3 linked regions of the Macaca mulatta genome follow. The protein of the gene in region 1 purifies or fractionates together with the protein of each later gene. This does not show direct contact. Links are inferred from orthologs where the notes say so. Each region holds a gene or a part of one and is shown on either strand. Other genes may lie near its edges.

Region 1 (8,015 bases):
AAAGGAAGCAAGGTCCTAAGGGAGAGCCATATTTCCTTTAGAACAAGAATATTGAGGGAATAGTTCAGGGAAGAGAATGAAGATATAGGAGATTTTGATGATGACTGGCTATGAGTTTCAGAGCTCTACAAATATGTAAATATGGATGGATTAATAACAAGTGAGACTTAAAATATATCTAATGTTTGTATAGGCTGTATGTAAAATGTGAAGTGCTACATAAATGTAAGGCATCCTGGACCTCCCAACTGCATAATAATAATAATAATATAATAATTATCATTATTACCCTTTTAACTACCTTGATTAAGGAAACTTCATTCTGCTTCCTTGACATTATTTTATTTTGTATTTTCTAAATCAACAAAATTATTTTTTAGCCTTATTAACTTTTCCCTGTTACGGTTCTTCTCACATTCCCTAAGCATCTTTTCTAAAATCTGTTTGAGAAGATGAGAGAAACTCTTACCTTAGGCAAAATACTCTCATGCAACTCTAATTGCATACTCTCCTATTATTCTGTCTGCCTTAAAAATAAACTTAATGATGACAGGAATTTTAGAGCTGGAAGAGAACTTAAAGTTAACACACTGCAAACTTCTTATTTTACAACAGATCAGAGATTATGTGGTTTGCCAAACTGTATCAGTTGGTTACTAGGAGAAGGAGGGCAAGAACCCATGCCTCCTCCTTTCCACCTTCCCTCTGTTTTTCCTGGAACAGCAGAAACAGCAACCACGAGAGGCGCACTGTATGCCAGTGGTTGCACACAGATTCTTATGTCAGACTACTCAAGTTTAAATCCTAGATCTGTTACATAGTAGCAGTGTGACTTTGGCCAAGTACTATAACTGCTCTGTGCCTCGGTTTTTTCATCTATAAAATGTAGGGCATAATAGTATCGACTTTACAGGATTGTTATGAGGATTCAGTGAATTAATGTACTTAAAGCACATAACACACTTGGCACATTGAGTCACCATAAATCTAATTGTTATGATTTAGCACACACTCTGATAGCTGCTGATATAACAAATATTTAGAGGCCGGGGATTTTACCCACAGCTGTTTTTGTTTGATCTGAAGTTTAAAGAACACAAAACAAAACAAAAAACATCACTTGAGATAATGTTTATAGTTCTAGATATTTCACATAGAGATCCAAATTTCTGGTTTCTCTTTGAAATCAGGTCTGACATCAGTAGGCCAAAATTCTCAGGTAGTAACAATTGGCTGGGGCCAAAAGCAGCTGCCCCCTTTAATCGGTACCACTCATGTAAGGCTTACATCTTGTAACTTGACCTGCCTGACTACCGCATGCCTTTGTATTTGCATTTCAGATTAAGACAGCCTCTGCTCTCAAGGAACTCACAATCCAACAGGTGAGATGCATTTGCTAAACAATTTACAATATATTGTGATAGGAACAAGTATAAACTTGCAAATTTCAAAATACAGCAGTCACCTGAAGGAACAGGAGTGCCTTGAATGGTAGAGGTGCTGATGGTGACGTGTGTTGTCTAAAAAGTGGCTTTGAAAAAGAAAAGGAGAGGAACAGGGTTGTAAAGGAAATAGAATGTGCAAAGACATTGAAATGAGAAACAGCTTGTGTGTTTAGAAACTATAAGGAGTTCAATTTTGGAGAATACTGTACAACGAGAAAGGGAGAAGTAGGCTGACACTAAATATAATACACACCTCTTATTTTGTATTTTACTCTGTAAGAGATGTGTAGAACTTAAAAGTTTTCTGTCATTAAATTACAAATCTAGGTCGGGCACAGTAGCTCATACCTGGGAATCTCAGTGCTTTGGGAGGCTGAGGCGGACAGATTGCTTGAGACTAGAGTTCGAGACCAGCCTGGGCTAGACCCTGTCACTAAAAAAAAAAAGAAAATATTAGCTGGGCATGGTGGCATGTGCCTGTGGTCTCAGGTATTTGGGAGGCTGAGGCGAGATGATCGCTTGTGCCCAGAAATTTGAGGTTGCTACTGCACTCCAGCTTGGGCCACAGACCCAGATCCTATCTCTAAATAAATAGATAGATAACTAAAGAAAATTGAAAATTTAACTTCATATCTTTGGCCCTTGTCTTTGAGAATGCAGTGCTATACAATCCACAATATTCTATGAACTTTTTTTTTTTCTCTTTGAGACAGGAGACAGGGTCTCACTCTGTCACCTAGGCTGGAGTGCAGTGGTGTGATGTCAGCTCACTGCAACCTTGACCTCCTGTGTTCAAGTGATTCTCTCACCTCAGCCTCTGGAGATTGGGTTTCACCATGTTGGCCAGGCTGGTCTCGAACTCCTGACCTCAAGTGATCTGCTTGCCTCGGCCTCCTAAAATGTGGGGACTACAGGCGTTAGCCACCCTGCCGGCCTGTACTATTTTTCAATAGCAAATTGCCACTTCAAGAAGAAACCCTGTCGTTATAAGGGGTAAAATATAGTTTTAAGATTGGTCTGCAAATGAAGTTTCCTTATCTGTAAAATGGGAATAACAATGACACCTAACTCAGGGCTATTAAAGTGAGACTTAAACTCACTAAACTCATGTAAAGAGCTTACCAAGATACCTGATACAGAGGATAAGTGGTCAGTTAATGAGTCACTGATTCTTCCTTGTCTATGTACCCTTTTTTTGAGAAAGTACATCTCACTAAGTATGTATTTTTCATTGAAAACTAAAGTTAAATCAGGACTGATGACATTTTGCGACTGCATCTGGTAAAAAATAAATGCAAAAAATACTAGATTGAAAATGCCAATATAAAACTTACTTTCCGTATTGTAAAAGTTTCAAGAATAAAGATTTTTGCGCAACATAGAAACTGCAAGTTATCGTCTATAGTTAATAATTAAATAAAACAGTTTATTAGTGGTAGGTAATAAAGGTACTTAGTAAAAGAGACGGTTTGCCAGGTCCCCCGGCTCAATGAGCAGGCAAAGATTCTTTCAGGCAAAAGACACTTTCACATCTGACAGTAACATCTCGGATAGTCAGGCAGGTCAAACAATCACTTGGCGGGAAATAGATAAATACACACTAAATTCGCACAATCTGTTTCTGTTTAGTTTATAAACTGCGATCCAGAGGGTCAGCTTTCGTGCCTTGTGGGACTTGAAGTCCAGAAAGAAGAAGTGATCAGGGCTGCCGAGGCATGGAAGGGTGCAGCCCCTGCAGGTCTGAGCCCTACGAACCACAACTCCCGGCAAGCATCGGAAGGCCGCGTCGTAATTACGGACAACCAATCGTACCAGAGCAGGGCAAGCCCCGCCCTCTGGCTCGGTGGACCGCCTCCGCCAATGGCAGAGCTCCCATCGCAGAGCCTGCGGGTTAGGTTGTGAGGCCCGGGCCGGGGGCGGGGAGGAGCCAAGGGGGCGAGCAGGCTCGGCCGCTGGGTGGGTCGGGGCGTTCCGCGCGCCCTTCATTGAAGCGGCGGTGGCCGGGCTGGGCGCCGGGAGTGGGAAGCGACGGCGCGGCTTGAAAATGCCGGTCCATTCCCGAGGGGATAAGAAGGAGACCAACCATCACGATGAGATGGAGGTGGACTACGCCGAAAATGAGGGGAGCAGCTCCGAGGACGAGGACACTGAGAGTTCGTCGGTCTCCGAGGATGGAGATAGCTCAGGTGCGCGACCCAGCAGGGCTGGGACCCTGAGTCCCCGCGCCCAGCGCGCGACAGGCCGCTCTCTGCACGCCAGGCGGCTGCGTCCTGCTGGGAAAGCGGGGCGGGGACAGAGGGAAGGGGCGGAGACTGGCTCTGGGCCCTGGGCTGCACCCGGTCCGGTCGCTGGGCGCTGTCTGGCTCATGATGGGTCTCGGCGGCGGGGCGGGGCGGGGCGGGCCTGGGCTTGCCCAGCTCCCGAACGCGGCGCAGTCCTGCCCCCGGTGGTGCTCTGGAGCGACCGGCCGAGGCGGAGAACTTCCCACAGCAGACAAACTGGAAATGCCTCCTCTCCCCAACCCACCGACCTCTTTCCCTATTTTCTGCTTTGCAACCCTCACTTCTCAGCGCTAGTGGGTTGCCGGGGCCGAGTGTCGGCTTAGTAATTAACCTCAGTTTCCAAGTCAACTTGCCGGTGAGCACTTTTACGTCAGTCCCTTTTCGGGGGCTAACTTGAGAGCTGTCCCGTTCAGTAGCTCCCTGAAGTTTGCAAGACCTAGAGGAAGGGACCAACATTCGGGCTCATTTTGCGTCTTCATATGCTTATAAATTGGCTGAGTTTTGGCAGCGTTGAAAATTCTCCAAGTCTTTTCTTCCCTTCAATTTTTTTCTAACTTTGGGCTGTTTTAAATTATGTTGGGGTGGGGGAGAAGGAGGGCAGATTAACACCACAAATAAATTTTGCAAACTTTTAGGAATGTTTATTCCAAAGTGAAATGGAATTTGTGATTACCGGGATTATTTTCCTTCGATTGAAATGATGGAGATGAGACTGACTTCTTTGTCTTGGCCTGATTTTGGTCAAGCATTGATGATAGGTTTATGACAGCCTAGTATCATCCACATGCCCTCTTTTCATGTTTCCCTTGCAAAGCAAATCTCCATGGAAGGATATAATTTCAATCAATAAATCAGCCATCCAAAAATATTTATGAGTGACTTCTTTGTGCAGCACTGGGTAGTACTCAATATGAGGGATAAATAGTTATTATCTGGGCTCTCTTAAAGAGCTGTCATACATCACCACTTGATTAAATGCCAAATGAATGCTTAACTAAATATTGCTGTGGGAATTCAGAGGCAGAGGAAATCGTTTCAGTATTGGGTGGTGGTCACAAAGGCTAGCTGAAGAAGGTGGGATTACCTTAATTATCTTGAAGAATGAGTAGAATTTGGGTTGGGGTTGTGGGTATCCCTATAGGGAGAGGAATGTAAGGAAAAGTACAAGGGCCAGAGTTTAGGGCTTATTCAAAAGCGTGAAAACCTTGGGAGAAGAACTTGAGGTCGGAAAGGAACAGGAAATATAGATGTGAGGGATTTCAAAGAAAGCACAAAACAGGATTGATGAATGCAAGTTTAGGATTGAAGGTAAGAGAAAAACCAAGATACAAGGAGAGTGGCGGTAGCATCAACAGAAATAGAAAAGTGAAAGATTTAAGATGAAGGTGAAAGATAAGAGTATTTCAGACATGTTGCTTTTTTTTTTTTTTTTTTCTCTTTGAAACGGAGTCTCGCTCTGTTGCCCAGCCTGGAGTGCAATGGCATGATCTTGGCTCACTGCAACCTCCACCTCCCAGGTTCAAGCAATTCTCCTGCCTCAGCCTCCCGAATAGCTGTGATTACAGGCACACACTACCACACCAAGCTAACTTTTTGTATTTTTAGTAGAGACAGAGTTTCTCCATATTGGCCAGGCTGGTCTCAAACTCTTGACCTCGTGATCCACCCGCCTCGATCTCCTAATGTGCTGGGATTACAGGCGTGAGCTACCGTAACCGGCCTTTTTTTTTTTTGGGAGAAGGAGTTTTGCTCTTGGCACCCAGGCTGGAGTGCAATGGCGCCATCTTGGCTCACTGCAACCTTTGCCTCCGGGGTTCAAGCAATTCTCCTGCCTCAGCCTCCTGAGTAGCTGGGATTACAGGTGCCCACCGCCAATGCCCGGCTAATTTTTTGTGTTTTTAGTAGAGACGGGGTTTCACTGTATTGGTCAGGCTGGTCTTGAACTCCTGCTCAGGCGATCCACCTGCCTCGGCATCCCAAAGTGCTGGGATTACAGATGTGAGCCACCATGCCCGGCCAGACATGTTATGTTGCTTTTTTTTTTTTTTTTTTTGAGACAGAGTCTCACTCTGTCGCCCAGGCTGAAGTGCAGTGGCATGATCTCAGCTCACTGCAACCTCCACCTCCGGGGTTCAAGCGATTCTCCTGCCTCAGCCTCCAGAGTAGCTGGGATTACAGGTATGCGCCACCATGCCCAGATAATTTTTGTGTTTCACCATCTTGGCCAGGATGGTCTCGAACTCCTGACCTCAGGTTATCCGCCCGCCTTGGCCTCCCAAAGTGTTAGGATTACAGGTGTGAACCACCCTGCCTGGCCGACATGTTGCTTTTGGAGTGATGGCAGTATGTTTAAGAATGCCCAACTGACAAATGCAAGTGTGACATTGGAACCTGCCTGATATGGAAGGGGAGAATAATTTGTAAGTCATCTGCCTTGCCTTGAAAGTAGGTGAGATTTCGAAAGTGGGGAATATAGAGAAAGGAGAACATCTAGACTATATGGGAATATATTTCTTTTTTTTTTTTTTTTTAATTTTTTTTTGAGACCGAGTCTCACTCTGTCACCCAGGGTGGAGTGCAGTGGCGTGATCTCGGCTCGCTGCAACCTCTGCCTCCTGGGTTAAAGTGATTCTCCAGCCTCAGCCTCCTGAAAAGCTGGGATTACAGGCATCCGCCATCACACCCGGCTAATTTTTGTATTTTTAGTAGAGATGGGGTTTTGCCACATTGGCCAGGCAGGTCTTGAACTCCTGACTTCAAGTGATCCACACGCCTATGCCTCCCAAAGTGCTGGGATTACAGGCGTAAGCCACTGCACCTGGACTGTTTGTGAATATATTTCTTAGATCTATAAAGTATTTTATCTTCAAATGTTCTTGCATTTATGATAGGAGCTAGGATCTCAAAATTCCATTTGTTAAAATTCTCCCCCTATAATTTTTATGTTGACTGTTGTGATTTTTAACTTTTAAAAATTCCATCCCAGAAAATAATGGACAACTTAATTTTTGAAGAATGTGGTAATAATTTGAACTGCAAGCCAAAAGTTTAAGTGCAAAGAAATTGTTTAAATACATTTTGCAGTTTGCTTGTTAAAGCATCTCTGTTCTACCATATGTCTTTCATGTTAAACTTTCACAGTGTTTTCTTCTCAAATGTTGGTACTGAGCAAATTCTAAGGCTACAGAAAAGTCTCTACTGTCCAAAGAACTTGGATAGTGAGTCATCTTGAGGGACCAAGTTTTAAGTAGCCAAGAAGTAAGCAATCAAGAGCCAGAAATATTTTTAATCTGTTTTAGAAAATTAGAAAAAAAGTCATAGCCTTCCTTGTTATATAAAAATAATTGAACGTGATTTAACTCTTTCTCATAGTTTGACTTTTATTTGATGAAGATCAAGATGCAGATCATTTTGTGCTTCAGTTATTTTGATGAATGAATATATGTGATGTGAACATAGAAAATGTGGACTATAGGACAGACCTGGTAATTAACAGTTGCTTTCCTTAAAAAGTTTGTATTTTCCTCCTCATTTGCCTCTTTCTCACTGACTGATAGTAACATGGGGAGACAGAACAATGGGAACGTAGGAATGGCAGACCAGGAGAGCCTGTGGTAAACAAAATAAGATTAGTTTCCTTTTTTCTTTTTCTTTTTTTGAGATGGAGTTTTGCTCTTGTTGCCCAGGCTGGAGTGCAGTGGCACGATCTCGGCTCACTGCAACCTCCACCTCCTGGGTTCAAGCGATTTTCCTGCCTCAGCCTCCCAAGTAGCAGGGATTACAGGCATGTACCACCACGCCCAGCTAATTTTGTATTTTTAGTAGAGACGGGGTTTCTCCATTTTGGTCAGGCTGGTCTTGAACTCCTGGCCTCAAGTGATCCACCTGCCTTGGCCTCCCAAAGTGCTGGGATTACAAGCATGGGCCACCGTGCCTGGCCTTTCTTTCACTTTTCTTTTTTTTTGAGACAGGGTCTCTGTTGCCCAGGCTTGCGCAGTCTTGGCTCACTGCAACCTCTGCTTCTCAAGTTCAAACAATACTCCCACCTCAGTCTCTCTAGTAGTTGGGACTACAGGCATCCACCACTATGTCTGGCTAATTTTTGTATTTTTAGTAGACATGGGGTTTTACCACCTTGCCCAGGCTGGTCTTGAACTCTTGAGCTCAAGCAATCCTCCGGCCTCAGCCTCCCAAAGTGCTGGGATTACAGGGATGAGCCACCACGCCTGGCCACTTTTCTTTTTTTATGTGACTGGCAAATCAGCCATGTGAGCAGTTTGAAAGAAGA
Region 2 (7,845 bases), on another chromosome or scaffold:
ACTTACAAGATCCGATTTTTTGTATTTTAAATTAACAAGGATTTGATTTCATTGAATAACTACCATCCAGAACTCTTCATTCATATTTTATAAAACTACATTTTATTACACAAATAATTATATGAAATTAACATTGCCAAAGGTTATGTTCATACTTTTATATCAGCAAATAATTTCAAGCTTTTGTTTTTCACAAGAACAGAATATGGGTTTCATTTTGGGTTTTTTTTTTTTTTTTTTTTTGAGTCGGTCTCACTCCAATGCCCATGCTGGAGTGCAGTGCTGCAATCATAGCACACTGCAGCCCCAATCTCCCAGGCTCAAGTGATTCTCCCACCTCAGCCTCCCAAGTAGCTGGGACTACAGATGCACGTCACCAGGCCTAGCTAAGTTTTGTATTTTTTTGTAGAGATAGGGTTCACCATTTTGCCTTGAATGCCTGGGCTCAAGTGATCTGCCTATCTTGACCTCCTAAAGTGCTGGGATTACAGGTGTGAGCCAGTGTACCCGGCCTCAAAATGTTTTTATAAGAAGTCTTCTCACAGATTTCCAGAATTCCAGAAATGAGAAGTTTCTATGACAGCAATTATTACAGCCTGTGCTTGCTAATAAAGTAGCAAGCAAATCTTTCAATGGTCATAGCAAAACCAAAGACCAGTTGCTTTATTGTTCATTATATTTTCTAGCAGTCAATACATTAAGAACACTTGAAAATATGCAGTCACCTACTAATGAACTAGTACTTTAGATGCAGTACTTTAGTTACATCAGTGGTTCTCAACTAGCTGTGATTTTGACCATCAAAGTATGTTTGGCAGTGTCTAGAGGAATTTTTGGTTGTCACACCTTGGAGGAGCTACTGGCACCTACTGAGTGGACTTAGGGATGTTGCTAATCCTCCAATAGACTCAACGGCCTCCCACCAAAAGGAATTATTGAGTCCAAATGTCAACTTTGAGAAATCATGAGCTACATTAATGGTCTCATCCATTTCCAGCCTAAAATCCGCAGCTTTATCTCACAACAGTTTGCTGAAGCGTTACAAACTATAAATTTGATTTGTAATTATAAGGATTTAGCTAAACAATATAATCTCAGGAAAAGCAGAGGTTTAGAATGTTTGATAGAAAACTGACCAGGAATGAAACATAAAACGGAGATGGATAAATCAAGTCAGTCATATATAACCAAAATTTAAATGAAGATCTTGTTAGATATCTAGACCTCTCCAACTTACTAGTTACCATTTGCAATGTAAACAGTACAGGACATCACTAAAAATTAAGGGGCATAGCAGAGGTACTTTCTGTATTCATGCCACATAAATATCTTTTCCCAAAGACAAAATTTTCAAAAACAGCTATTTCATTTCATGTTCTTATTTCGACTTTCAGCATTGTGTTTATCTTCACTGGCACATTAAGTTGTCTTTGGAACGAGGTGGGTATATAAATTAAACCATTTGTTCTTCCTAGTACTTCATCAAGTAATAATAACAAAAAAAAAAAGGAAATAAAAAAGAAGTTGTATTCCAATAGAAGCTTATTTTTCAAATTTGCTAGCATTATAAAGCACTTAAAAAAAATAATGCTATTTAAAATATCTTCAATTCCAAGTCAGATTGTCCCAGAGAATGCAAATGTGCTACATTTGTTACTTCTCCTTACCCTGTTAATTTCTTGGAAGTTTACAAAAAAAAAAAAAAGGGGGTTATAAAATGAAGGACTTTACATTAAAATATCAATACTGATCTCTAAGTCAGTTTAAAAGAAAAATCAAGTTTCACAAAATAAATACACTGAAGCAACTATAATAGTAATAACCTTTATTTAAAATAGTTTTTAATTTAGGAAAGCTCATTTTACATGAGTTTCCAACTAATTATTAGAGTCAGAAACAAAGAAAATAAAATCAGAGAAAATCCTCTGTAGAAAAAATACACAAAGAACATTTCTACATGTGAAAAAACAGTAAACAGTGTTATCATCCAAGTTATTAGTCTCAATTCCACGTCTCCTAGTGAACACCACTATCAACCTTGACATCTGATTTGTTCTTGTCATTCTTCACTGAGTAGATGAAATATGTTAAGGTGTCTTTTTCATTCACTGGAATAGACCTAAAGTGGCAACCAACTATCTATAAAGAAAAAAAAAAAAATTAAGGAAATTAAATTTTAGATATAACAGGTTTCATAAACTAGGTAAAAAATACGGTTTCATCCAAAGAAAAAATCTATGTGATAAGAGCTATTTCCTTTAAAAATTATATTTAAGAAAATACCAACAGGACAAAAAGCATTTAAGAATAAAATGTTATGAACAAGAGATAATGTGATTTCAAAGGACCTTTTGGCTCACTCAATTTACTATACATTGATTAGAAAATACATTTTCCTTTTATTTATTTTAAATTTTATAATTGGGCCAGGAGTGGTGGCTCACACCTGTAATCCCAGCACTTTGGGAGGCGGAGGTAGGGGGATCACTTGAGCCCAGGAGTTCAAGACCAGCCTGCGCAACATGACAAAACCCCATCTCTACCAAAAAAAAATACAAAAATTAAGTAGGCGTGGTGGTGTACACCTGTAATCCTAGCTATTCAGAAGGCTGAGATGGGAGGATTGCTTGAACCCAGAAGGTGGAGGTTGCAGTGAGCTGAGATCACGCCACTGGACTCCAGCCTGGGTGACAGAGCAAGACTCTGTCTCAAAAAAGATAAATAAGATAAAAATAATAAATTTTATAATTGGAATCTAGAGTAGGGAATACATGTTTTTACTTTTAAACTTTAAATGAGATAAAACAGATGTAAGAGACCACATGCATCATTAAACCTGCAATGGTTTAGACCCTACTGATAGAAAAAGAAGTATGAAGTTGAAAACTTTTGGTAGTAATCAACAATAACATATAAATTATTTGCTGCAAATTACATTCATTCATTCGTATCTTGGTAGCATTCTTTGGTTAAGGTTCCTTGAAAATTTTTCTGAATAAAAATTGTGAATGGAAATGAGAGGAGAAAGAGGGATGTTCAATGAAGGATGTTTACCTGCTTCCTTGCCTTTTCATTGTGCTAATGTAATATGCATACTACAATTACGAATAGAAGATTAATAGACTTACCTGAGGTGCTGACAAGCATATTTAGATTCCAGAAAATAGAATTTCTTAAGAAAAAAGTTCATCCACACAACAATTACGAGACTTAAGACTTAGTCATACAACCCTGGAATCCCTTAAAACAGTGGTCCCCAACCTTTTTGGCACCAGAGATCGATTTCACGGAAGGCAATTTTTGCACAGATTGGGGGTGGGGGAGTTGGTTTTGGTATGAAATTGTTCCACCTCAGATCATCAGGCATTAGATTCTTATAACAAGCGTACAACCTAGATCCCTCACATGTGCACTTCACACGTGGTTTTGGACTCCTGTGAGAATCTAATGCTACGGCTGATCTGACAGGAGGCGGAGCTCAGGCAGTAATTCTTGCTAGCTGGTGCTCACCTCCTGCTCTGTGGACCTGTTCCTAACAGGCCATCAACCAGTACCAGTCCATGGCCCCGGGGTTGGGGACCCCTGTCTTAAAATATATGTACTACATCTGCACATTTCCACATTCCTTAACCTGTTAATAACTGCATTTCTGATTAAGTAAAATATAACACTCATGGCTATCTCTTATGTATAAAAAAGAAAATAGCTCTAGAAATAATATAACTGTTCTTAGAAGGTCAGTTTATCAAAAATTTCAGGTTTAATTTATACCTAAATGTAACATTTAAAATAATTAGTTCTTTGGTTCTCATTTGTTCCAAAACAGGGGTGCCTTCACTCCATTAGTACCTACTGAAATATTTCATCATGGTGGGCAAGATCTATATTTACGTTACATAATGTATTGTACAACCCCAAAAGAACTTGATCTTTTAAATCAAAATTAAAGAAAAATTAATTAGATCCGTGTTGCCTAACCAAGGATAAGAAATTTTAGCTAAATAGTTAATGTATTAGATTTTAACAATGTTAAAAAGCGTTCCATCAGATAAATGTAACTTCTATTCATATTTCATTTTATTCAATGAAATGTTGTACATTTTAGAAAATGTTGGGTAACTACTAAATCCATGCAAAGAATATGAGAAAACCGATTTATATATCTACACTTCTATTTTGTCTAGTAGGCTAAATTTTCTTTTTTAGAGATGGAGTGTTGCTATGTTGCCCATGGTGACTCAAACTCCTAGGATTAATCAATCCTCCTGAGTAGCTGCAAGCAAAAATTTTAAATATGATTAAAATATAAATATATCAATCTATAAGCATCTTAATAAGATGCACAGACTTCTTGGTTCTATTATATCCTGAGAACATATGCATACTCCATTAACTTTCACAACTCACTGACTAACTAGAAGTCCTCTGTCAAAGCAAACTACAAGTAAAAGATTGGGTAAAAGAAAAGCTTTTGCCTCTTCTAGATGTGAAGAAAACATAGATGTCTCTAATAAAACTAACATCAACAAGGACCAATTTTGAAATAGTTAAGTCAGCAAATTATAAAAATACTGTTTAGGGGCTGATTTGTAGGCCTACTCCACCACTTTAAAATATAAATTTTAATAAGGACATTAAAGCTTGCTAATTAAATTTATTATGCCTCAATTAGATGCTCAAACATTTACTGGTTAAATGGAGTTTTAAAACTAATAGATTTCTAAAGTGAGGATTAAAAAAAACTCTCATTCAACATTTTGAGGGCCAGGCACGGTGGCTCACACTGCTGATCCCAGCACTCTGGTAGGCTGAGGTGGGCGGATCACTTGAAGTCAGGAATTTGAGACAAGTCTGGCCAACATGGTGAAACCCCATCTCTACTAAAGATATTACACAAAAATCAGCCTGGTGTGGTGGTGCACACCTGAAGTCCCAGCTGCTTGGGAGGCTGAGGCTGGAGAATTGCTTGAACCTGGGAGGTAGAGGTTGCCATGAGCCGAGATCGTGCCACTGCACTCCAGCCTGGGTGACAGAGCGAGACTTTGTCTCAAAAAACAAACAACACATTTTGAAAGCCAGTATCAGAAGGTGCTGTACACAACCTGCTGAGTAGTCATTACAAAAAGGAATTTCCTAAGTGGCTGACAAACATTTCTAGACAACTAGATTCTTCCACAATAGATTTTTTAACATTGTTCTTTCTAAATAAAATGTACTGTTAAATGTACTGTTACATATACTACATTAATACTTTCATTAGCATTTAACAGCCTCTCGGTTGTGCATAGTTCAAATAGTTTAAAAATCATATATACCTCAACAAGCTGTGCTTTATTAAGTCCTGGTCTGGTTGGTAGCTTGAAGTGTCTTTTGTATCTCCTAAGTGTATTTACTTGTAATTGGTATAAATCAACCTAGAAAAAATTAACATGCATAAATTAGTTCATACAATTTGTGGAAAATTTATCATCGATATGTATAATAACAAACATTTTAACTTCAGCACAATAAAAATTTACTTCCAAAATCAAAAAAATTATTTAAAAAATTTACATAATCAAACCTATAAATTATTAAACAGTTTAATCTTTTGGGGATTAATAATATAAACTGAGGTCAAAAAAGAGTAAGTTATGTGACAACAGAGCCGCAAAAATTGTCAATTTAAAATGTAACAATTCAAACTGTGTAAATGCATGACAACTGGCTATATTTAATTTTGCTTTCATTTTCAGATTTCTCAAATGTTTTAAACACTTAAAAGATTGTTCATATCTTTTTATAAAGGTTTCAGAATGCACTACTTAGGATTTATATTAAGCATAAAAAACTTCCATTTACCTCTGGGGTATCAATATCTTGAACAGGTGAATCACCTCCATCATCATCACTCCCTTTTCTCTTTCTTCTGTTTCGAACACTCTGAATTAAGTTTTTATGATAATCACATATGTAAAGATGCCTTGCCTGAAACAGAAAAGTTTCACACACTGCTAATGATTACAGTAAAATGTGTCTATGTATTAGTAAAACACATATGCCACAGATAGTAAAAATAAAGACAGTCAAGATGGCCATTGTTAACACAATGAAATATTTATACATTTAAATCCTAAACCCTGTTAAAACATAAGAAGTCTGGAATACTGTTAAAAGGATGGTGGATGGGGAAGGAGGGGTTGGTTCCATTTGGGGAAGGGGTGAAGGGAGGGAGGGAGAGGAGAATGAGAAATTCCAACCCTCTGGGTTTTGGCATCAAATTGCAGTGAGGGGCCGGGCGCGGTGGCTCACGCCTGTAATCCCAGCACCTCTTGAGCTCAGGAGTTCCACACAAGCCTGGCCAAAATGGTGAAATCCCGTCTCTACTAAAAATACAAAAAATTGGGCGGGCGTGGTGGCACTAGTCTGTAATCCTAGCTACTCAGGAGGCTACCGCAGGAGAATCACTTGAACCTGGTGGGTGGAGGTTGCAGTGAGCTGAGATCGCGCCACTGCACTCCAGCCTGGGCAACAGAGTGAGACTTTGTCTCACATAAATAAATAAATAAATAAATAGCAGTGAGGATGACATGAATTAGTTCATGTTGAATTTTTAACTGTTAAGGGGAAAGATGATGCTGCCCACTTTTGCTACTTGACAGTACTTTCTCTACTTAAAGAAGAGCATATTTTTGTAACATAATGTATGCTTTCCAGTCTTTCCAACTGAATGCCCAAATTATATTCCGGATACAAAACCATCCGTTTTTACAAATGAGCTATCGACTTCATAACTATATTTAAATTTCAGTTATCAACTTTTCTGAATATTAAATTAAATCAATGTATTTATTTATAACACATTTTCCCAAAGCAATCTGAAATTATGCAAGTTCACCTGAAAAGTTTCTCACGGATAACACTGAAAACTGTTTAAACGGGCAAAAAAGTATCACAAATAAACTTTTCAAAAACTTTAATTACACACACTCCTGCGAACTGTAGACTAACATTTGAAACAAATACGGACTGAGCTAACAGGCTTTTACATTTACTTCGAAGCCAAGCGCAAGATAAAAATACGCAGGACTTGTGGTAGGTTCTTGATACCATGTTATTCATTTACCGCTAGCCAGATCTCCCAAAAGTAGCAACGGCTGTTAGATGGTCAAACGAAAAGACGCGCAGGAGGAGGAAAAAAGAAATCCTGATGGCTGCCAAGGGGATGGCAAAACCGCAGAGGCTACGTGCTCCCCACCATCGGAGCAGCTGCCCTCGGAGCTGACAGCGCAAACGCCGTTTACAGCCCCGGCTCACTGCCAGGCGGCGGGCGAGCTCGGCTTCCCTCTCACTCCGCTCCGGAGGAGACGGAGCACAGAAAGGAACAGGATCTTCCTTGATCGCGAAGGTCCTCCACTTTCCCCTAGACCAGGGGAGTTAGCACCGCCTGGGGCCAAACACCAGCTTGGGCAGCGAAACAAAGGCGCCTCCATTCCAGAAGAGCTGCCGGGCTGCAAGAAAACTACTCTGGGCCCTCGGTCCGGCGGTCCCCTTTGTTTCGTGTCCTGGTCGCAGAGGAGAAGGAAGAGGGAAGACAGTGCGCGGGAGAGTCGCAGGCAGCGGGAGGCTGGGGGCAGGGTGGGAAAGAAAAGGGGAACGACAGCGTGCGTGTTGTGTGTGTGTTGGGGTGGCGGTCGGAGTTGCAGCGACTTTGTTATTTGCTTCCAAACACAGACTCCACGAGACCGCACTGCAGCCAGGTCTGGGAGACCCCGCCGACAATCCGTGCCTTTGCCCGACTCCTGGGGCCCCACCAGGGGACAGGAGGGCAGGGCGATCCCGCGGTTACTTACGCTCTTATCCAGC
Region 3 (7,831 bases), on another chromosome or scaffold:
AGAGACAATGGCTATTAATATCTTAGTGTATTTTCTTCTGCTCCTAATAATGACTGGATGAAAACAATTTGGCCAGAAACAAAATTGGTATTCGTTATGCTCCTCTTTTGCTTGTATAATTTTCAGATCTTTCTGTAACAAGCTTTGTTTTTGTAATAAGAAAACAAACAATAAAGGAGAGTATAAAAGAGCAGGATCTCTGTATGTCTTGTTCATCCAGCTAGCTGCAGTTTCCAGAACACTGTTTGGCTCACAGTAGGTACTTCAAAAAATTTTTTTGAATGGCTAAAACTTTTTTGCCCCCAACCTAGTGAACCATAGTTGCTAATGAACATGGAATCACTCTGCAGGTATGTCTGGGTATTATGTCTCTGATTCCTTTTAGTAAATAGTTTATTCTATCCATAGGATCACTTTTGCTGTCTTAATATAAGACTGATTAAATTCAAATTCCAACTCCAGCACTCACTAGCTATGGCACCTTGGCAAGAAACCTCACCACTCTGGCTCAGCTTCCTCATCTGGTAAGCACAGGTCCAGGTGCTGAGGGTGCAACAAAACAAGAATCCTACCCTCTAATTTACATTCTAGTGTGCAAGAAAAAGCCTGTGGACAAACATCTGTCAGATGGCGATAAGCGATAAGCACTGTGAAAAAACAGAAAATAGAGTAAAGGGAATAGAAGGTGATTACCTGTGGGGGTGGATGGGGGCATGTTGCTATTTTATAAAGGGTAGTCGGGAACAGCTAAAGGTTTAAACACTAGGCCCAGCATGGTGGCTCATGCCTGTAATCCCAGCACTTTGAGAGGCCAAGGTGGGCAGATCCTTGAGCTCAGGAGTTCAAGACCAGCCTGGGCAACACGGTGAAACCCTGTCTCTACTAAAAACAAAACAAAACAAAATCTGGGAATGGTGGCCTGTGCCTGTGGTCCCAGCTACTCGGGAGGCTGAGGTGTGAGGTTCGCCTGAGCCCAGGAGGTTGAGGCTGCAGTGAGCTGTGATCGTGCCACTGCACTCCAGCCTGGGTGACAGAATGAGAGCCTCTTTCAAAAGAACAAAAAAAGAAAAAAGAAAAAAGAAAAAAAAAAAGAAAAAGAAAATAAAAGAAAAAGGAAAGAGAAATTTAAAAAATCATAGTATAGTGTTTTTCAAACTTCAAGTTGTGACTAAGCTCAATCATGAAGTCCATTTAGAATTTGCATTTTTGGAAAAATGAAATAAAATTCATCCCTTTCTTGTGTGTGTGCACCTGTTTGTGCCTGACTCTATTAGCTGAGCACAGAAGAGACAAAAAGAACAACCCCAGAAAAGTGCCAGAAAAGATTAGGACCAGAGCTAAGAGGTTGGGGAGAAAGGCAAACCCAACAGATAAGCAATACAAGAGAGAAAACATCACTTTTTTTTAATTCAAAAAAAAGTAGTTGATGGAAAAAAGGCCAAAAAAAAATTAAATAGAATTGACAGATTCAATTTAACAACAACAAAAATGCAAAACCAATGAAATATGCTGTACATGATACCTTCGGATTAAATGCATGATAGCGTGTGAATATTCTCAGAAACTCCCAAAATATTTGTTCCGTATTTCCTTCTCTGACCCTCACTGAGGTCAACAGTATCAAGATTTTAAAGCCACGTCGTCTGGGAAGATTTCTTTTCTTTCAGTCCTTCAAACATTTCTTTTAATAGGTTTTGGAAATCATGCCTACTTATCAGAAATCAGTACACTGTATTAAAGGGATACAAATCATCTCCCAAGCCGCCTCTTGTTTTGCACACGAGGTTCTCTTTGAAGCAGAGCCATAAGGTACAATTATTCTAGAACAAGGTGGGCAAACTACAGTCCTCCGACTAAATCTAACCCACCACGTTTTTGTATGGCCCTCGAGCTGAGAATGGTTTTTCCGTTTTCAAGCGGTTGAAAAAAAGATTTTGTGACCCTGAAAACGATTTCAGTGTCTGTAGTTTTATTGGAACACGGCCAAATGTATCCACATTTTCCACGGCTGCTTTGCGCTACAACGCGACAGAGTCGAGCAGTTGCCCCCGAAGCCTAAAATATTTACTATCTCGGTCCTGTTAGAAAAAGTCTTGCCAACCAGCGTCCTAGAATATGAGGGCTGTATTGCTTAAACACCCTTCCAACTCTTTTCCCTCTCCAGCCACCCCCTCAGCCTTAGGCACTAACAAGATTCTTTGACCCGGCATAGGGGGAGGGCGTTATAATAATGAACTGTATTGTATCGGAAACAAGACAGTAAATATCTACAGAAGGGAATGTGTGACTGGTTCTGCCACTGACTAACGTCTGGGTTTGCGTCCCGGTCAGAAAAGTGGGCATGACAGCGGCATCTGCAAGATAGCATCTGAGCATGAAGGCACTTGGAAAGGTATCAAGGCAGCAAATGTTCCGGGGGTGCTTTTGCAAGAGGAGCCTCTCTCGGAGCTGGACGTACACTTCGGTTCCCTTTGCACGCAGGCACCTTGGTCGCCTCCCCCAACTCCGTCCCCTCTGCTCCTGGCCCTCATTTTCTTTTATTCCCCTTTTGGCCTTGCAGCCAGTTTTCTCCTCCCCCGATACACTCCCCAGGGGCTATGAAGTTCCCGAGCAGAGCATGGCTCAGGTAAGCAGGCCCAGGGCAGTTCAGCCCTGCTCTCTCCAGCTCCGCCAGCTTGGGGTGGGGTCGCCCTGGGACCCCTGCAGGTGACAAAAATGACTCAGCAGGGGCCGGGGCTGGGATGCGAAAGGAATGCCAGTGCTGGAACAAAATCCCCTGAAGCACGAAGAGGCCTCAAACCATCATCTTAAGGACCCAAACATCGAACAAATTAAAATGTAACAATGTAAATCGGTTTCGGCCCGCCGGCGGCCTGTGCCGCTACAGGCTGCACATTTAGCCTAACAAGGCGGCCCGGCGGCTTTTGCAGGCAAAAAACGCCCGCGGCCTCTCCAGAAGCTCTCTTCCCTCTGAGACCAGCCCCACCTCGGCCCGACCGGGCCCCAGGAAAGGCCAGTCGGCTGGAGGAGAACATTTCAGGGGTGCAGAGAATTGCATGTCCGTGATTATCAGGGAGACTTTGAAGGCACAGTAATCTCTCGAGAACAGGAACCATTTTCCCCTCTTGCTCTGAGATTTTGCTTGGCTAAGCGGCAGCAGCCTCCCTGCCCCCCTCTCACCCCCACCACCGCTGCCGCTACCAGCAACCACGCCCCGCGGGCCCCAAGGCTAGCCGCCCCGGGGCTCGCGGCCCCCGCTCAGCCGGCCAGCCGCGCCTCCATCCACCCCACCCTCGCGCGCCCCCATCCGCCCCGCCCCCTCGGGCCCTCATCCGCCCCGCCCCCGCGGCCCCCATCCGCCCCCGCGGCCGGCCCTGGGAGCACCGGGCGAGCCCTCGCGCCTGCGCATCGCCAACTTCCTGCCGCGGCACGCTCCGCCCACCCCCAGAAGCCCGCCTCCGAACGCCGCGTGAAACCCGCCCGCCGCGCGTCATTGGTCGCGGCGCTGGAGCCGTTGGCTCCCAGACCCGCCTCTCCGCCTCCTCTCACTTTTCCCAGGGCGGATGCGCCTGCGCTTAGCTGCCTGGGCGGGCTGGGAGGCGCGGGTTGAAAAGTCTCGTTCCAAGTTTGGAGAGAGAGAGAAGAGCGCCTCAGACCTCGGTACCCGCGAGCGGGGAGGAGGCAGGAAACAAGGACGCGGCGTCTGGGGAGCACCCAGGCAGCAAGACTGGGCCCGGGCTTTCGACCGCGGGGAGTGTGTGACGCGTTTGGGAAAGGCAGGAGCGCCAGTGGTCGGGCTGCTCTTGGCTAACGAGGGGAGTCCGAGGCGGCGGCGAGGGGCGAACGACCCGACGCAAGATGGCGAGTAAAGAGAGTAAGAGGCCCTGCGGGGCGGCGCGCGCCGGGGCCGCGGGGGGCGGCGGGCGCGCGAGGCCGCGGCACGCGCCGGCGAAAGGCGCGAATTGGCGTGCGGAGCAGGGGGCGGGGCCGGGCGCGAGGCTGGGCGCGCGCCTCGAGGGGCCTGCGCGGGACGGGACCGCCGTGCCGAGGGCTCCGAGCACTTCCGGAGCCGGGCGCGGGGCCGAGGGCTGGGCCCCTCTCTTCTCTTCCCTCCTCCAGAGGCTGCGCTCCCTCCGGCGCCCTCGGCCCCGGGGCGGAGGCGGCCGCCGCCGCCGGGAAGCGAACGCCGCGGCTCCTTCTACGCGCGCGCGTTGACCGCCTCGGGGTCGCGGCCCTTGTCCGGGGGTTGCTGGAGCCCTCAGGCCTATGGCTGCCGAGGCGGGTGTCGTGGGAGCTGGGGCCTCCCCTGATGGGGATTGGAGGGACCAGGCCTGTGGGCTTCTGGTACACGTGCAGTTATCTTCCCGAGTGGGTCGCGCAGCCCCTGTACGTACAGGTCGTCATCTTAGAACAGGTGCGAACAGCTGTAACAGGGTAAACAATTTCCATGTCCGTGTAATTGACTACCCAACATGGTATACGCAGAGGGTATTGATCTCAACGGAAAAAAAGAGGCTTCGTGGTTGGTAGTATTTTCTTCACCTTCTGGAAGAGCAGTTAGTTGTCCGTGTCCAAATTAGAGGTAAAAGGAAAGAGTACATGAGGTGTGGCCATCTTGAGGTGACCTCCAATTTCTGACTTCGATCCATCTCAGCCACTTAATTGTGTGGGCTTTCTCCAAATTTCAGTGTTTGAAGATACTGTGGAGGAGCGTGTCATCAATGAAGAATATAAAATCTGGAAGAAGAATACACCGTTTCTGTATGACCTGGTTATGACCCATGCTCTTCAGTGGCCCAGTCTTACCGTTCAGTGGCTTCCTGAAGTGACTAAGTAAGGGTTTCTGGCAACTTTTTTTTTTTTTTTTTTGCTTAAATTTAACTGTCGTTCTGAATTTCCTAGTTTTGGCGTTTTATACCTAGAACATAAGTATGTAATCAGCCCTTGCATGGGGTGGCAGGTGGTTTTTATTTTCAAAACTTAACGTGATTTATGGGATGATTTCTGGCGTATAGTGTGGTGGTAAAAGGGGAGAAAGAATCCGTTGTGAGATTAATGGTATTTGGAGGAAACACTGAATGTATTTGACAGTTCCTGGGCTCGAATGTAGAGCAGCATCTCTCTGGGCCCAAACTAATGCGTTTCTTTAAAACTTTATTGAAAAAGAGAATATTTACAGAAAAGTTCACACATCATAAGTGTTGTATGGCTTCATAAATTTTTGCAAAGTGAACACACGTAACAGTCACCCAAGATAAATACATTTTAATTGGTAAAGGCAAAAAGACCTTGTCAACAATTGACTAAAGAAAAGATGTTATTGGCTTATGGAATACACTTTGAGATTGCCGTTAGTCTTCATAAGAGTATTCTTTTCTGTTAGATCTACAGTTTCTCTGGTAATAATTGCTGGCATTTATTGAGCACTCAACAGGGCCTGGCACAGCTGAAGAATCTACGTCTTGTTGTAATCCTCACAGTAGTACTATGCTGTAGGTAATTTTCATTATCCTTGTTTTACTGATAGGGGAACTGGGAGTGAGCGTTTAAGTGCCATCCCAAGATCACACAGCTGGTCCCTGCGTTAGTCTGCCTTTCTCATTCACTTGAACCTTTTCTAGTAGGAACTTGACCATGTACTTTTAAAGTGTATTAAATATGGGGCCAGGCACAGTGGCTTATACTCCTGTAATCCTAGCGCTTTGGAAGGTTAGCTTGAGCTCAGGAGTTCAAGGCTGCAGTGAGCCATGATTGCGCCACTGCATTCCAGCTTAGCCAACAGAGAGAGACCCTGTCTTCCAAAGAAACAACAAAAAAGCATCTTAAATTTGAGTGTTGTGGGCATATAATTTAAAGAGGATTAAATGAAACTCTAACCTAAAAAGAGGATTTTGCAACAAGTTATAAAAATAATAAGCTAATTTTGGCTGGGCGCGGTGGCTCACGCCTGTAATCCTAGCACTTTGGGAGGCCGAGGCAGGTGGATTGCCTGAGCTCAGGAGTTCGAAACCAGCCCAGGCAACACGGTGAAACCCTGTCTCTACTAAAATACAAAAAAAAAAAAAAATTAGCCGGGCGTGGCAGCGTGTGCCTGTAGTCTCAGCTACAGGGAGGCTGAGGCAGAAGAATTGCTTGAACCTGGGAGGCGGAGGTTGCAGTGAGCCAAGACCGCACTACTGCACTCCGGCCTGAGCGAGAGCAAGACTCTATCTCTTAAAAATAAAAATAATAATTACAATAATAATCTAATTGTATATAAAACTGCTCTTACAATGGCTAGGTTCTCCATATGCAAACATTGATTTCCATACAGATAGGAATTTCCACTGGGCTTCCCAAAAATCTAAATGTAAATGTACAGATGTGGGAAGAGTAGAGAAGAACTAAGTGATGGACACTTGGAAGCATTGACGTTTACAGTCACCTTTGAACAGATTAAAAACTAGATTAAGCATCGTATGCCCAGGGGTATTCAAGTTCTGGTTTGAGCATTGTGTGCATTTGCCTCTTTGGTCTGTTAAGCAGATTTAAAATGTATTAACTAAATTTACCTTTTTGGGGATCTTTTTGACCCACTGTAACATAATGGAAAACAGCAGGGACTTTAAACTTAGAGACCTGGGTTAGAATCATGCCCCTGCTTCTTCTTAGCTTTGTGAACTGGGGCCGTGTTGTCTGGGCTGTAAATGGAGATGTTGGTCGTACTGACTACCTACATTTGAGGGAATTAAATGAGATCATGCATGTTAAAGTGCCTGGTGCAGCATAAGTACACAGTAAGTGGTGACTGATGCTGATTCTCCCACCCCTTCCTGTTCAGAAATAATTTGTCAGGATTGAAATAGCTCTGTGTTTCTTCATTTGGATTTCAATGGAAGCTACTTGCTGAAGTTTTTTTTTTTAAATGTTACCTATAATATGTAATACTTAGGAATGTAACAGAAAATGCTTTAATTAAATTATTTAATATGTATCATGGTGTTCTTTGTATACAAAGCTGTTGTGGGATTGAGTTGTGGGACGTGCAGTGCCTTAGAGAATGTAAGAAAATGCCAAGCAGCCTGCATTCTTGGATGTTGAGGATTGCTGTGTGGTGCTTTGCAGGGTTCAGTTAGGGGTATAAAGGGACTGTGTTTTATCACCATACAGAACAGTAAAAATGTTGACTGTTCCTCAGTGTCTGACTCTGAGGAACAAGACCCTGCTCCACCTCATAAGCCTTTCTTCTGCCGACTTACAACATGCTTCATAACAATTACTTGGACTTTCTGAGCTATTGTCCTTCAGTTGAGTTAGGTAATTGTCCAAATAATTGATTTGGCTTGCTTTTTTTTTTTTTTTTGAGACAGAGCAAGACTCTGTCTCCCAGGCTGGAGTGCAGTGGCACCATCTTGGCTCACTGCGCCCTCCACCTCCCAGGTTCAAGCGTTTCTCCTGCCTCAACCTCCTGAGCAGGTGGGATTACAGGTGTGTACCACCACACCCAGCTAATTTTTGTATTTTTAGTAAAGACAGCGTTTCACCATGTTGGTCAGGCTGGTCTCAAACTCCTGACCTCATGATCTACCCACCTCAGCCTCCCAGAATGCTGGGATTACAATTGTTGATTTGACTTTTAAAAGGTTTTATTTAGATATCTCTAAGAAATTGTTTTTTTTTTTTAATTAGGTAGTTATTTCATATCTCTTGTTGAATAATGTTTTAAATATATTGAGACTAAGTTATTGTCTACCTAAAAAGCTTTGTAGTTTTTCAAATTCAGGAAGTACAAAAGGATGTAGAGTGAAGAATAAGTCCCCTTTCCACATCCCTTACTGTCCTACTTCCTTTC

The links.
Region 2: the proteins of BRMS1L (region 1) and SAP30 purify together in Homo sapiens (affinity purification with mass spectrometry; 4 studies listed by BioGRID and IntAct, with this or other methods). This does not show direct contact. The link is inferred for Macaca mulatta from reciprocal best matches to the Homo sapiens genes BRMS1L and SAP30.
Region 3: the proteins of BRMS1L (region 1) and RBBP7 purify together in Homo sapiens (affinity purification with mass spectrometry; 4 studies listed by BioGRID and IntAct, counting the BioPlex papers as one, with this or other methods). This does not show direct contact. The link is inferred for Macaca mulatta from reciprocal best matches to the Homo sapiens genes BRMS1L and RBBP7.

The regions. Positions count from the first base shown.
Region 1 is NC_133412.1:108,942,750-108,950,764, forward strand, and holds the start of BRMS1L (breast cancer metastasis-suppressor 1-like protein), read left to right. Parts: upstream 1-3,432; 5' UTR 3,433-3,489; coding exon 3,490-3,631; intron 3,632-8,015. UniProt on the Homo sapiens protein: Involved in the histone deacetylase (HDAC1)-dependent transcriptional repression activity. When overexpressed in lung cancer cell line that lacks p53/TP53 expression, inhibits cell growth.
Region 2 is NC_133410.1:181,803,363-181,811,207, reverse strand, and holds the end of SAP30 (histone deacetylase complex subunit SAP30), read right to left. Parts: coding exon 7,833-7,845; intron 5,968-7,832; coding exon 5,842-5,967; intron 5,415-5,841; coding exon 5,316-5,414; intron 2,140-5,315; coding exon 2,017-2,139; 3' UTR 1,825-2,016; downstream 1-1,824. UniProt on the Homo sapiens protein: Involved in the functional recruitment of the Sin3-histone deacetylase complex (HDAC) to a specific subset of N-CoR corepressor complexes. Capable of transcription repression by N-CoR.
Region 3 is NC_133426.1:16,536,835-16,544,665, reverse strand, and holds the start of RBBP7 (histone-binding protein RBBP7), read left to right. Parts: upstream 1-3,513; 5' UTR 3,514-3,858; coding exon 3,859-3,874; intron 3,875-3,927; exon of another isoform or gene 3,928-4,266; coding exon of another isoform or gene 4,267-4,414; intron 4,415-4,688; coding exon 4,689-4,833; intron 4,834-7,831. UniProt on the Homo sapiens protein: Core histone-binding subunit that may target chromatin remodeling factors, histone acetyltransferases and histone deacetylases to their histone substrates in a manner that is regulated by nucleosomal DNA.